Bombyx mori: one gene and its partners. The protein of the gene in region 3 purifies or fractionates together with the protein of the main gene of each other region. This does not show direct contact. Links are inferred from orthologs where the notes say so. Each region holds a gene or a part of one and is shown on either strand. Other genes may lie near its edges.

Evidence for each region.
Region 1: the proteins of exosome complex component RRP46 (region 3) and protein HBS1 purify together in Homo sapiens (affinity purification with mass spectrometry; 3 studies listed by BioGRID and IntAct, with this or other methods). This does not show direct contact. The link is inferred for Bombyx mori from reciprocal best matches to the Homo sapiens genes EXOSC5 and HBS1L.
Region 2: the proteins of exosome complex component RRP46 (region 3) and nuclear nucleic acid-binding protein C1D purify together in Homo sapiens (affinity purification with mass spectrometry; 4 studies listed by BioGRID and IntAct, counting the BioPlex papers as one, with this or other methods). This does not show direct contact. The link is inferred for Bombyx mori from reciprocal best matches to the Homo sapiens genes EXOSC5 and C1D.

The regions. Positions count from the first base shown.
Region 1 is NC_085121.1:12,890,183-12,894,430, reverse strand, and holds protein HBS1, read right to left. Parts: upstream 2,801-4,248; 5' UTR 2,487-2,800; coding exon 471-2,486; 3' UTR 274-470; downstream 1-273. UniProt on the Homo sapiens protein: GTPase component of the Pelota-HBS1L complex, a complex that recognizes stalled ribosomes and triggers the No-Go Decay (NGD) pathway.
Region 2 is NC_085124.1:3,151,116-3,154,019, reverse strand, and holds nuclear nucleic acid-binding protein C1D, read right to left. Parts: upstream 1,736-2,904; 5' UTR 1,631-1,735; coding exon 1,184-1,630; 3' UTR 501-1,183; downstream 1-500. UniProt on the Homo sapiens protein: Plays a role in the recruitment of the RNA exosome complex to pre-rRNA to mediate the 3'-5' end processing of the 5.8S rRNA; this function may include MPHOSPH6.
Region 3 is NC_085131.1:1,264,168-1,268,163, reverse strand, and holds the start of exosome complex component RRP46, read right to left. Parts: upstream 2,801-3,996; 5' UTR 2,763-2,800; intron 2,757-2,762; exon of another isoform or gene 2,683-2,756; 5' UTR 2,606-2,682; coding exon 2,503-2,605; intron 2,280-2,502; coding exon 2,153-2,279; intron 1,534-2,152; coding exon 1,425-1,533; intron 1-1,424. UniProt on the Homo sapiens protein: Non-catalytic component of the RNA exosome complex which has 3'->5' exoribonuclease activity and participates in a multitude of cellular RNA processing and degradation events.

The DNA of each region.
Region 1 (4,248 bases), on a different chromosome or scaffold from region 3:
AACTGTGAGTTCAGAGACGCAGCTCGCAAGCGGGCCACGGATCGGAAAGCACGTCCGCGCACGACCGAGTCGTGAGCGAGAATGAGAATGTCCATTTCGTATACGACTTGTAGGATGCTTAGGTCAATTTTAATAATAAAAGTAGCACAAAATTGAGAATACTGGCTGGTGTCCTGAATGATTTGAGAATCAGATAAACTGCAATTTAAGGACGTCGATAGAATCTTCTGTTTAGCATATTCTCATAGTTTTCAAATTCAGAAATAAAAAACATTTGTAACATGAAACAATTTATTAGCATTACATTATAAATAATAAATTATACTTCAAAACAGTACATTATTGTAGACTATTCACGCGTGCAAAGCTAAAATGTCCAAACATAACCATATTTTTAATTTATCACATCTTCAATTAGTAACAAATCTTTTAGTTGTATATTTAGATTATAATAATCTTTATCAGATCAATCATGTGCTGATAATATCAGTGACAAGGCCTGCTGCTATGGTGACACCTGCGACGCGTAACATAACACGACCAAGCTCCTTAACATCTTTATATCTCTCGATGCATATGGGCCTGCTGGTCTCAATTTCAACAACTGCCACAGAATTATTTCCTAAGCAACGAGGTTTCTTTTTAATTAGCTCACCGGTACTTTTGCTGAGTAATGCCTTAAGCTTGACAATATTAGCAGATTCTACCAATGATTGATAGTGAACAAGCACCGGAAAGCCTTTTGTTATTGGTACTTTAACATTGAAAACTACTATTCGGGCCTCGAAACGTGTTGTAACAGAAACCTGCTCAATAGGATCGCTGAGTATGTATCCAACTGACACATTCTGCATGTCCACCCCAGACAAAGTCAATGTGACTTGGTCTCCAGCAAATGCTACATTATTAGTAAGATCATTTATACTTAAACTTCTAACTTCAGCCATTTCTTTTGTTGGACAAACCAATACTTTATCGCCCTTCTTTAGAACTCCGTTTTCAATGCGTCCCGAAACACAAAATCCAGAACCGGTACCTTTGAACACATCATTGATTGAAATACGTAATGGCTTAGACACAGGCCTCTCTGGAACATTGAATTTGTCAATCACATCTAAAAGACAGGGTCCTTTGTACCATTTAGTTAATTCAGGTTCGCTTGCTGGTTTCACAAGATTCTCACCAATGAGTCCTGAACAAGGCACATAGGTGACATCTGTATCTTTGAATCCTGCTTGTTTCAAAAAAACCTTAAGTTTATTGGTGATTTCATTAAATCTGTCTTGAGACCAGTTGGCTGTATCCAGTTTGTTAATGGCAACAGCCAGCTGACTTACACCAAGTGACCTCACTAGTAATGCATGTTCTCTTGTTTGACCACCGAAATCAAATCCGGATTCAAACTCTCCCCTAGTTGCATCAACTACCAACATAGCAACATCAGCTTGACCAGCACCAGTTATCATATTAGGGATAAAATCAGCATGCCCCGGTGCATCTAATATTATAACCCTCTTTGTCTTTGTTTCAATCTGGGCACGCCCAATATCCATAGTGATTCCTCGGACTCTTTCCTCTCCTGTTTCATCAAGCACCCAGGCATACATAAAGCTTTGCTTTCCAATCTTTTTACTCTCCTGTTCATATTTGTGCAAAGTTTTTTGACTGACTTCTCCGAGCTCACATAATAATCTGCCCATTAATGTAGATTTTCCTGCATCAACATGACCTATCACGACAATGTACAAATGATCTTTGTCAGAACCTCTCTCATTGGCATATTGTTTTTTTGCATCAATTTTGTTCTCTTTTACTTTTAAATTTTTCATGTCATCATTTTGTTCAGTCTTGCTTTTTTCTGGGTGAGGAGACTGCCCTCTAGGTGTCTGAGGGCGACTATTAGGCTTTGGCTCTTGGTCCACTTTAAAACCCTTGATTACAGCACTCTTCTGATCTACACTTGTAGCTATAACTTTAGGAGCTACTAATGCTGTTGTGGTTTTCACTGTATTAGTAATAACAGGCTTAACTGGTTTAGATGTGGATGAATCTTTATTTTTACTCTTATCACTATTAAGTATATCGTCTAAAGCTTTGTTGTAATCAAAATTATGTTTAAGCACACTCTGAATCATTGTATTTTCCGATACTGTATCACCTAAAATATTCCGAAGTTCATCTAAGCAAGACATGAGCCTGGTTTCACCTTCCGCGTCAAGCTTGAGGCTGCAGAGGTCGGTAGACTCTCTTCGTTGTGGGCCCGGTACTTGAACATCTTGAACTTCATCTTCGGCTTCCTCCTGGATATTGCTGTGTCTATCGAGAAGGTTAGATATCACCTGTTGGTTTCGTGATCGGTCGTAGATCCATTGCGACGCATCACTTGGAGATAAACAACTATCCTCTTCCACTGAATGTCCATAAAAATCATCGTCATCATAGTCATCAGAGTAACTTCTGTTCCGAATGTTACGATGTCGAGCCATTGTTCATTAATAATATCAAAAGTGTTCCTATGTTACAGAAACCATATTTGCAATAAATGGATGTTTTTCGGAAAAACTCGCAAAATAAATAACACGTTTCGTTTTGGGTTAGTGACAGCAATGACAGCAGCTTTTTTGACATTAGTCGTTTTACTTTTTCGATACAGAAAAGGCGAAAATATCACACCGAATCCAGTGGAATCTTTTGTGTGATTATTCTACCCGATGATATGCAGGCGAAGTAAAATGTTCCTTAGAAATAAGGTGACACTCTACAAAACTTGCATACGCCCCGTCATGACCTATGCAAGTGTAGTGTTCGCTCACGCGGCCCGCACTCACTTAAAATCATTCCAAATCATTCAATCCCGTTTTTGCAGGATAGCCGTCGGAGCCCCGTGGTTCGGCAGGAACGTCGACCTCCATGACGACCTGGACTTAGAGTCCATCAGTAAGTATCTGCAGTCGGCGTCGATGCACCACTTCGATAAAGCGGCACGACACGAGAACCCTCTCATCGTGGCCGCCGGTAACTACATTCCCGATCCTGCGGAAAGAATGGAAAGCAGTCGACATCGCCCAAAACACGTCATCTCGGATCCTCCCGATCCACTAACGGTGCTTTTAGGTACTTCAAGCACCGGTCACCGTTCTCGTCGAACCCGTCGCTTGCGACGAAGGGCTCGACGAGTAAATTAACCCTCAGACACAGCCCACTGAGTTTCTTGCCGAATCTTCACAGTGGGTCGCGTTTCCGATCTGGTGGTAGATTCTGCGAAGCACGGCTCTTGCTAGGGCTCGTGTTAGCAACGTCACAGGTTAGAGCCCCGCGAGCTCACTTACTCGTCAAGTTACGCAAGAATAACGTTCTAAGGTACCAGCATAGGTAGGAAAAAAAAGAACGCATTGAAGTCATGTCAATATCACCAATTTGAGGAAGCTCGAAATCCCAATTCTCCGGACGCGGTCATAAAATAATATCTCGACAGATCCTCTGGTCTCCATAATTTTATCTATGAATTGCCAAGTAAATATAAATTAATGTAAATGAGGTTCATTCGTGAAGCAGTTGCCTTTGAGTTGTTAGTTTTCTCCGGAGGCCCTCAGGAGGCTGTTAGCAATTACCGTCGCTCCTGGCTGAGCCGGTGCTCGCTTGTGAAACTGGAAATGCCACCAGGACACCAGTAATCCTTTCTCTCAATTTTTTTTCCATTATGAATGTGAAAATATTTAAAATGCTTCAAATGCTAAATACTGCTTAACAGTGCTTAACAGAGTTGCGTTTCTCTATTGTTTCAGTAAAGATTAGCATCACCCATCTCTTGCAAATTAAACATTAAAAGCACGTGATACGTTAACTCAGCTCGTTGTTTCAAAACTAAACGTCGGTTTTTCAATCATTAATTGTACATATATCAAGTAAAAATACTATCCCACCTGTATTGTTGATTTTTAGTAATTCCACAATATAGCATCACCCATCTCTTGCAAATTAAACATCAAAAGCACGTGATACGTTAACTTAGCTCGTTGTTTCAAAACTAAACGTCGGTTTTTCAATCATTAATTGTACATATATGAAGTAAAAATACTATCCCACCTGTATTGTTGATTTTTAGTAATTCCACAATATCTAAATGGTGCTGGCGTTTTATTACACAGTCATTAATTATTTGGACCTTTCGATGGAAACGTGAGATGGAAAGTAGTGTGAATATTTTTATTTTGTTAATTTAATGTATCTAAAAATTTAAATATGTAT
Region 2 (2,904 bases), on a different chromosome or scaffold from region 3:
TGTAGAAAAAAATATATGAAATTCTTTGGAGTTTGATTTTTCAATTTCTAGTTAAACAGACAGCTCAGTAGAATTCATGCAATGGTTTAAATTTTCATTATTTCGACGCCTTTACAGATCAATGTCTTCACTCACTGTCCTCATACATGAAACTTATTAGTCTCATGAGATAAGTTAAAAAATATATTTAAAGAGCAGTGGAATTTTTTTTCACTCTTTTTGACCTCAAACTAGGATTCTCTATATTAACTAGTGATTTATGTAATTTTTTTATCACTAAGATGGGTGGTCGAGCTCACTGATGTTAAGTGGTCACTGGAGCCCATAAACACCAAAAGCATGAATGCTGTTACCTACCTTGACAAAGTCAAAAGTTCTAAGTCTCAGGTTTTACAGAACAATGGCTGCCCTACCCTACATGGGAGAAATCAGCTGAGAGGCAATAGCTACCCATAGAGGCTTGCAAGATGCCTTACCACCAGTAATTGTACAAATTATAGTTTCGATTTGTATTAGACTAAGTTATTCCTTCACCATGGAAGTGCAAATCACTCATCAACATTTGTTCAGTATGTATTTCATTACAAAAATTGTTAGGATTCAAATACCAGCACAGTCACACTACTCAATTTGAATGCACAAGGCGTCTTATCCTTTAGTATTAGACTTCATTGGTACCTATTGAATTCATTGCATTTTAAGAATTTTGGAAAAAAGAGATATATGTATGTGTATCTCTTCTTTCATAACCAACCAGCCACTATAAATTATTGAATAGGTGAAATCGTCTCTTTCGCTATTTTATTAATACAGTACCTATAATAGTATCACACAATTGTGGATATTTGACATTATACTATAAAACAGACTTAGAACTCATGTGGCAAGGTGGATGCTTTGAGCTCTAGTAACCATTTAAATCCATACTGAGTCATGAGCTCTTCCAGTTATCTAGGCAATGAAAATATGAATAACAATAAGAAACATCACATGATCTTCATTAAGACACCACAACTGATTCAAAACTACTAATTTCGTAAATCTTAACTGACCCTGACTGAGAATTTTAAAAAGAGCCCTTAGTCACCAATCAATCATGTAGGTGTAACATATAAAATTCAACAATTTTCCTTAAAAATACCAAAATAGTTAAAAATTACAGATAATTAATTCTTTCAACGAATTACTCTTCGTTATCTGAAAATTTTATTCGTTTGTTTAGTTGTTTCACGGGAGCCCTCTGATGGTCGTACAGACCATTCCGTACTAAACGTTTCGCCACTTCAACGTTAACGGTGGGTCTTTTCTGGCGATCCTTCACTTCCTGCCACTTTAACATTGTAGCTTTTATTCTGAGCAGTTCATCTTTGATGGGATGTTTTGTGGGATCGATGCCTTTTGTTCGTAAATGTATCCAATGTAGTGAATTTAAAGTGTATACAAAAAACAAATCTAGTTCAATCTGAGCTGGTAGTGACATTTTGTCGTAATTTTTCTTCAACGGAAGGAGTTTATCGAGTACTTGTTGTACTTCTATTAAATTCTCTTTCAAATTTTCAACATTGTTCACGAAATCTTTGTCTTTGGCGAGTTCGCCGTATTTAAAGTCCCAATTAAGTTCTTGGCACATTTTACGTTTTAATTATAAACTGTTTTTTCTTTTCTTTAATAATAATTAACCTAACATAAAAATTAATATAGAACGGCATGAACATACGTCACTTGCGTGTGGCCAGGATTTTTTTAAGGGATTTTATGACCTGGTAACTAAAACTTTTAAGTCATGTCTTATTTTAATTTATTTTATTTTTAAATTATGAAAAATGATAAATAGGAGTGAATTGTATTGAAGACATTGATGTATTAAAAAACCCAAGATACAAACTCAGCGTCTCAAAAACGTCCACATAAAATGAGTCATTTCAAATAGTCTCGCGTCGCACGCGTCTCTGGCCGTTTTCCAATTACAGCACAAGAGCGCATTATGCGGCATAATGCTCAACTAAGCTTCAGCATAATTCGGCATTGTGCTTCACTGAGTCGCATTATGCTCTGTAATTAACCATTACTTAATGGTAGTTTTCCAATTATGCTGAAGGTTAGTTGAGCATTATGCCGCATAATGCGCTCTTGTGCTGTAATTGGAGAACGGCCTGTGTGCGCTCGTCAAAATTGCCGAAGTATTCGTTGAGAAATTGTAAAAATATTACGTTAAGAACGTTAAAAAAGGACGGGATATCGTATATTCGGTAAGTAAAAGAGTTTGTTAATTTGTTTTTGTTGTTTTTATGACTAAATATAGGAAGTATTAGGTGATTTTGATTTAATTTTTCTAAGAACTTCACTCAACGGTTCAAGTATAATACGTCAAATCTCAATAGCCACTTTTTCAGTGTAAGAACTACTATTACAATGCCTTTTATTTTAGTCGCATAATCCGAACGATCTAAAGGAAGTGTTTGGAACCTCTGGGTCTGCGGAGGGACTTCGGTTCCCTCTGTATTTTGTACTGCATGTTCCATGGGGAGTGCTCTGAGGAATTGTTCGAGATGATACCAACGTCTCGTTTTTACCATCGCACCGCCCGGAGTAGAGTTCATCCATAATACCTGGAGCCACTGCGGTCATCCACAGTGCGTTTCCAGAGGTCTTTTTTGCCACGTACCATTCGGCTATGGAATGAGCTCCCCTCCACGGTATTTCCCGAGCGCTATGACATGTCCTTCTTCAAACGAGTGGAGAGTATTAAGCAGTAAGCAGCGACTTGCCTCTGCCCCTGGCATTGCTGAAGTCCATGGGTGACAGTAACCACTCACCATCAGGTGGGCCGTATGCTCGTCTGTCTACAAGGGCAATAAAAGAAATCTTGTTCTTATTCAATGGAGTCGATTTTTTTTATTGTGT
Region 3 (3,996 bases):
CAACTTTGACGACACTCCAACTCTTCAAACGATTAAGAACTGGGTTGCTAAGTTCGAGGAGACCGGTTCGACGTTAGATAAACCGCGGTTGGGTCGCCCAAGGACGTCACGTACGGAACAAAACATAGACACAGTGACACAGTCTATTCGCGAAAATCCGACACAGTCAACTCGTAAGCGCGCCAGAGCATTAAACGTATCCAGGACATCGTTACAACGGATTTTGAAGAAAGATTTACATGCCAGGACGTGGTTTCAACAGGATGGGGCCACTTCTCACACCTCTAACACTGCTATGCCCGTTATCCGTCAACTTTTTCCTGGCAAAGTTATCTCTAAGAGAGGAGACATTTCCTGGCCTCCACGTAGTCGAGATCTGACCCCGATGGATTTTTTTTTGTGGGGCTACCTTAAGGCTAAAGTATACGACACAAACCCGCGGTCGATTGAGGCCCTAAAAGAAAACATCCGCAGAGAAATGACAAGCATTTCAGCAGTGACGTGCCGCGCAGTCATCGACAATTTTAGACGTCGTTTGCAAGAGTGCCGTGTTCGCAACGGATTACATTTAGGAGATGTTATTTTCAAAAAATAATTCCCGTTTTTTAAGCTTTTTATGTAAATAAAAATTTAATTCATAATGTAATTAGTTTTATTTTAATAATTTTTTTTTCATATCAAAGGACTTATGGGCCACCCTGTATTATTCGTGAACTATTCCACGCGGACGAAGTCGCGGGCAAAAGCTAGTACATATATAAATGAATTGCTGTTCGTTAGTCTCGCTAAAGCTCGATAACGGCTGGACCGATTTGGCTAATTTTGGTCTTGAATGATTCGTGGAAGTCCAGAGAAGGTTTGAAAGGTAAATAAATATGAAAATGCTCGGAACTAAATAAAAATAACAATTTTGTTTTTCCTTTGTTGTGTCCCGCGTCGGACGGATTCCTTTTGTTTGTTTTAAGTTTATTTTATACAAAAGTTTAGGTCTTTTATTTATCGATTGAGGCACTACGAAGTCTGCCGGGTCAGCTAGTTAATAATAAATTCACAATTTAATAATACATTGACATTTAATAATAAAAATAATTTGGCCACTATTAAATATGTAGCATATTGAAATCTGGTAACCACTTTACATCGGTTGAGCTCATCAAATGATCTGTGAAATTAACAGAAAACATTATCTATATCAATTAAAACAATTTTCGTTTTTTTTTTTCATTATTTTTGTTTACAAGCCTGAAGCATGTGTAGAAAGCTTGAGAGTGAAGAACTACCCCCACTTAAAAGCAATAGGCAGATCATAACTGCTCCATGCTAGAAGCAGATAGATCATTAATCACCAGTACTTCCAATACCACCAATCTTCATTTTTAGGAACAATTCCAATTCACCCTCGTTAAATACAAATCAGTACTCACACCACCATAATCTTCTAGTTCCTGTATAGTAACATTTATACCAGTTCTAGGATACAGAGAACCAAGTATTGCTGCTTCACATGTCTGTTTCACTATATTCTCTTTGTATCTGTAATAACATGTAATATGATTACAATTCAACAATCGACTGTAACACCTATTTCTTGAAAATATTCCACAATTTAACATCACTTACAGATGTTTCTTTGAGAAACCTTTCATGAAGCATCAACAGAGACTGGTGGAAGACTTATGGGGATCAACCTCAATCACTTTGTTAATGTCTACCCTAACAGAGTCGCAGTGCTTTGCTGAATCTACCATGTCAGAAAAGTGACTCACTTAGAAGATCAAGCAAGAATATCAATAAGTTGTGTATCTGCCATATTGAACTCTGTTGTATCTAGTAATGTTTAAACAATACATTCATTAATGACAACCAAATTTATGTTTTTTGTAGACATATGACCCTCCTAATGGTAAGTGGTTACATTCGCTCACGCCAACGTCAATGTTAGGGGCAAAGCCAAGCAGCTACATGCCATTATGTACTCTCAAAGAAGCCTCGTTTGAAGAAGGACATGTCATAACGCTTGGGAAACACCACAGAGGGTAGTTCATTCCAAAACCGAACGGTGGATTTCATCTATTATTATACAAATGACCACTGACAAGCAAATATTGTTATTAAATTAATTTCCAATAGCCATATAGCTCTAATACATTACCTGTTTTCCACGCTCGGTTTCCCATTCTTATTACTGAACAAAACCTCAAGAGTTGACTTATCTATTCGTTGACTGGTCATCTTTATATCTAAAGGTCCATTTACGCTCACCAATGATACAGTATCCCCTGTAAAAATATTTACAAGCTTTGATGAACGATTTTCTGTCCAAGAAGTTTTAATTAACATTGTTGTACTTTTTAAGACGATGAACTTTGAATGTTCGTAAAATCTTACTGTTCTACTTATTTTTTGTAAAAATACTAAATTATTATTTAACATGTTGTACCTAAATTAAGAGTTTCGGTAAAATGACCACAGCTAGATTATAGGGCATAAAACTGTTTTTACCTTGTGATAAAATAGCTGATCCATCAGATTTGCTCAGGAAGTTGAATTCACATTTCATAGGTTTTAATTTAAAATCCTGTACATCCTTCATATCAGTCACCATATTTAATTCGTTCAAATGTTTAAATATATCTTGAAGTAGTACAATGAAACTTGATTGCTAATTGGGTTTCTGATTTTCTAAAATTCAAAGATGATCTTTATTTATTTTAATAACAAGAAAAATATAGAAAACACATAGACCTATATAGTATATATACCTATATAGGTTTCCTACTTCATTGAGAAAACATGTGAGAATGACATTGACAGTAGTATTCGTTTGTTTTTTACAACCAGAAGGGCAAAGCTATTGAAACATACAGCCTAATCTTTTGTAAATTCTATTTTATGAAGACGATATGAAAATGAAATGAAATTAGGTTGATTAATTTCAAACATTAATTAATTGGAATTAAATTAAAACTAAGACTTATTAAGACTATTTCAGTGGACTGTTTGGAAGATCCCGAGGATCAACGTCCGGTGACTTTGTTTTATTTACCTAAATTTATGCACTTTCCCAGATACTAAACAGTTCATAAACATCCATTAGTACATGTTTAAACATGAAGAAACATTAAATTAACAAAATAAAACTATTCTCACAACTTTGCTACTCGCGTTCCCGCCAAAAAGTCCAAAATAGGAGTACATAATTATCTATTTAGGTACATTGTCCTTAGTCTGAGTTTTTTAAAGTTGAGTTGACACAACGCCCTTATCGGCAAGAGTAGGTTCCAACTCATCATAATCTTTCATCTTTAAAAACTGAATCATTATCCCAATTTAGTACTTTTTTCAGTGTGCTCAATATTTTAAGTTTTTTGAAAAAAAATCTCTATCTTCGAGATCTATATATTAATACGTGAAGCAAAAACTGTGTATCCCTTTTTACGAAAATTGCGCGGAAGGAGGAGTATGAAGTTTTCCACACTTATAGAGAATATAGAGAAGAAGTGCACAATGCTAATCTTTTTTAAAATAATGCATAAAAGATACATTAAATCAATAAAGAAAACATTACACACACTACATACCATGTATTTGACGCACACACGCATGCATATTATTTATTGTTAAACTTTTGTTCTTTTTGTTGTCAAATTGAGAATAGATTAAATATTGTTTGTCTTTGTTAATATTTTTTAAAGTGTAGTCTTGGCGAAATTTGTAAAGAAGTATAAAATACAATCATAATAGTGTACTAGTTTAAATAAATGACTCAACTTAACAAGAACAAACACAGGAGAAGTAGCGTTCTGCAGAAAAGCTTTACTAGCACTCTACGAGTTATTAACTTCCACCAGGAAGCCTGATTTTATTGAAGGGAGCTATGTTATGTGTTTACTGGAACAGTCATTACGAAAATCTTGTATTAGCTATTCAAACTCGCCCGATATTTCTTCCCGAGAAGGGTATTTTCATTTTTTTCTTACAACAAGGACTTAGCAG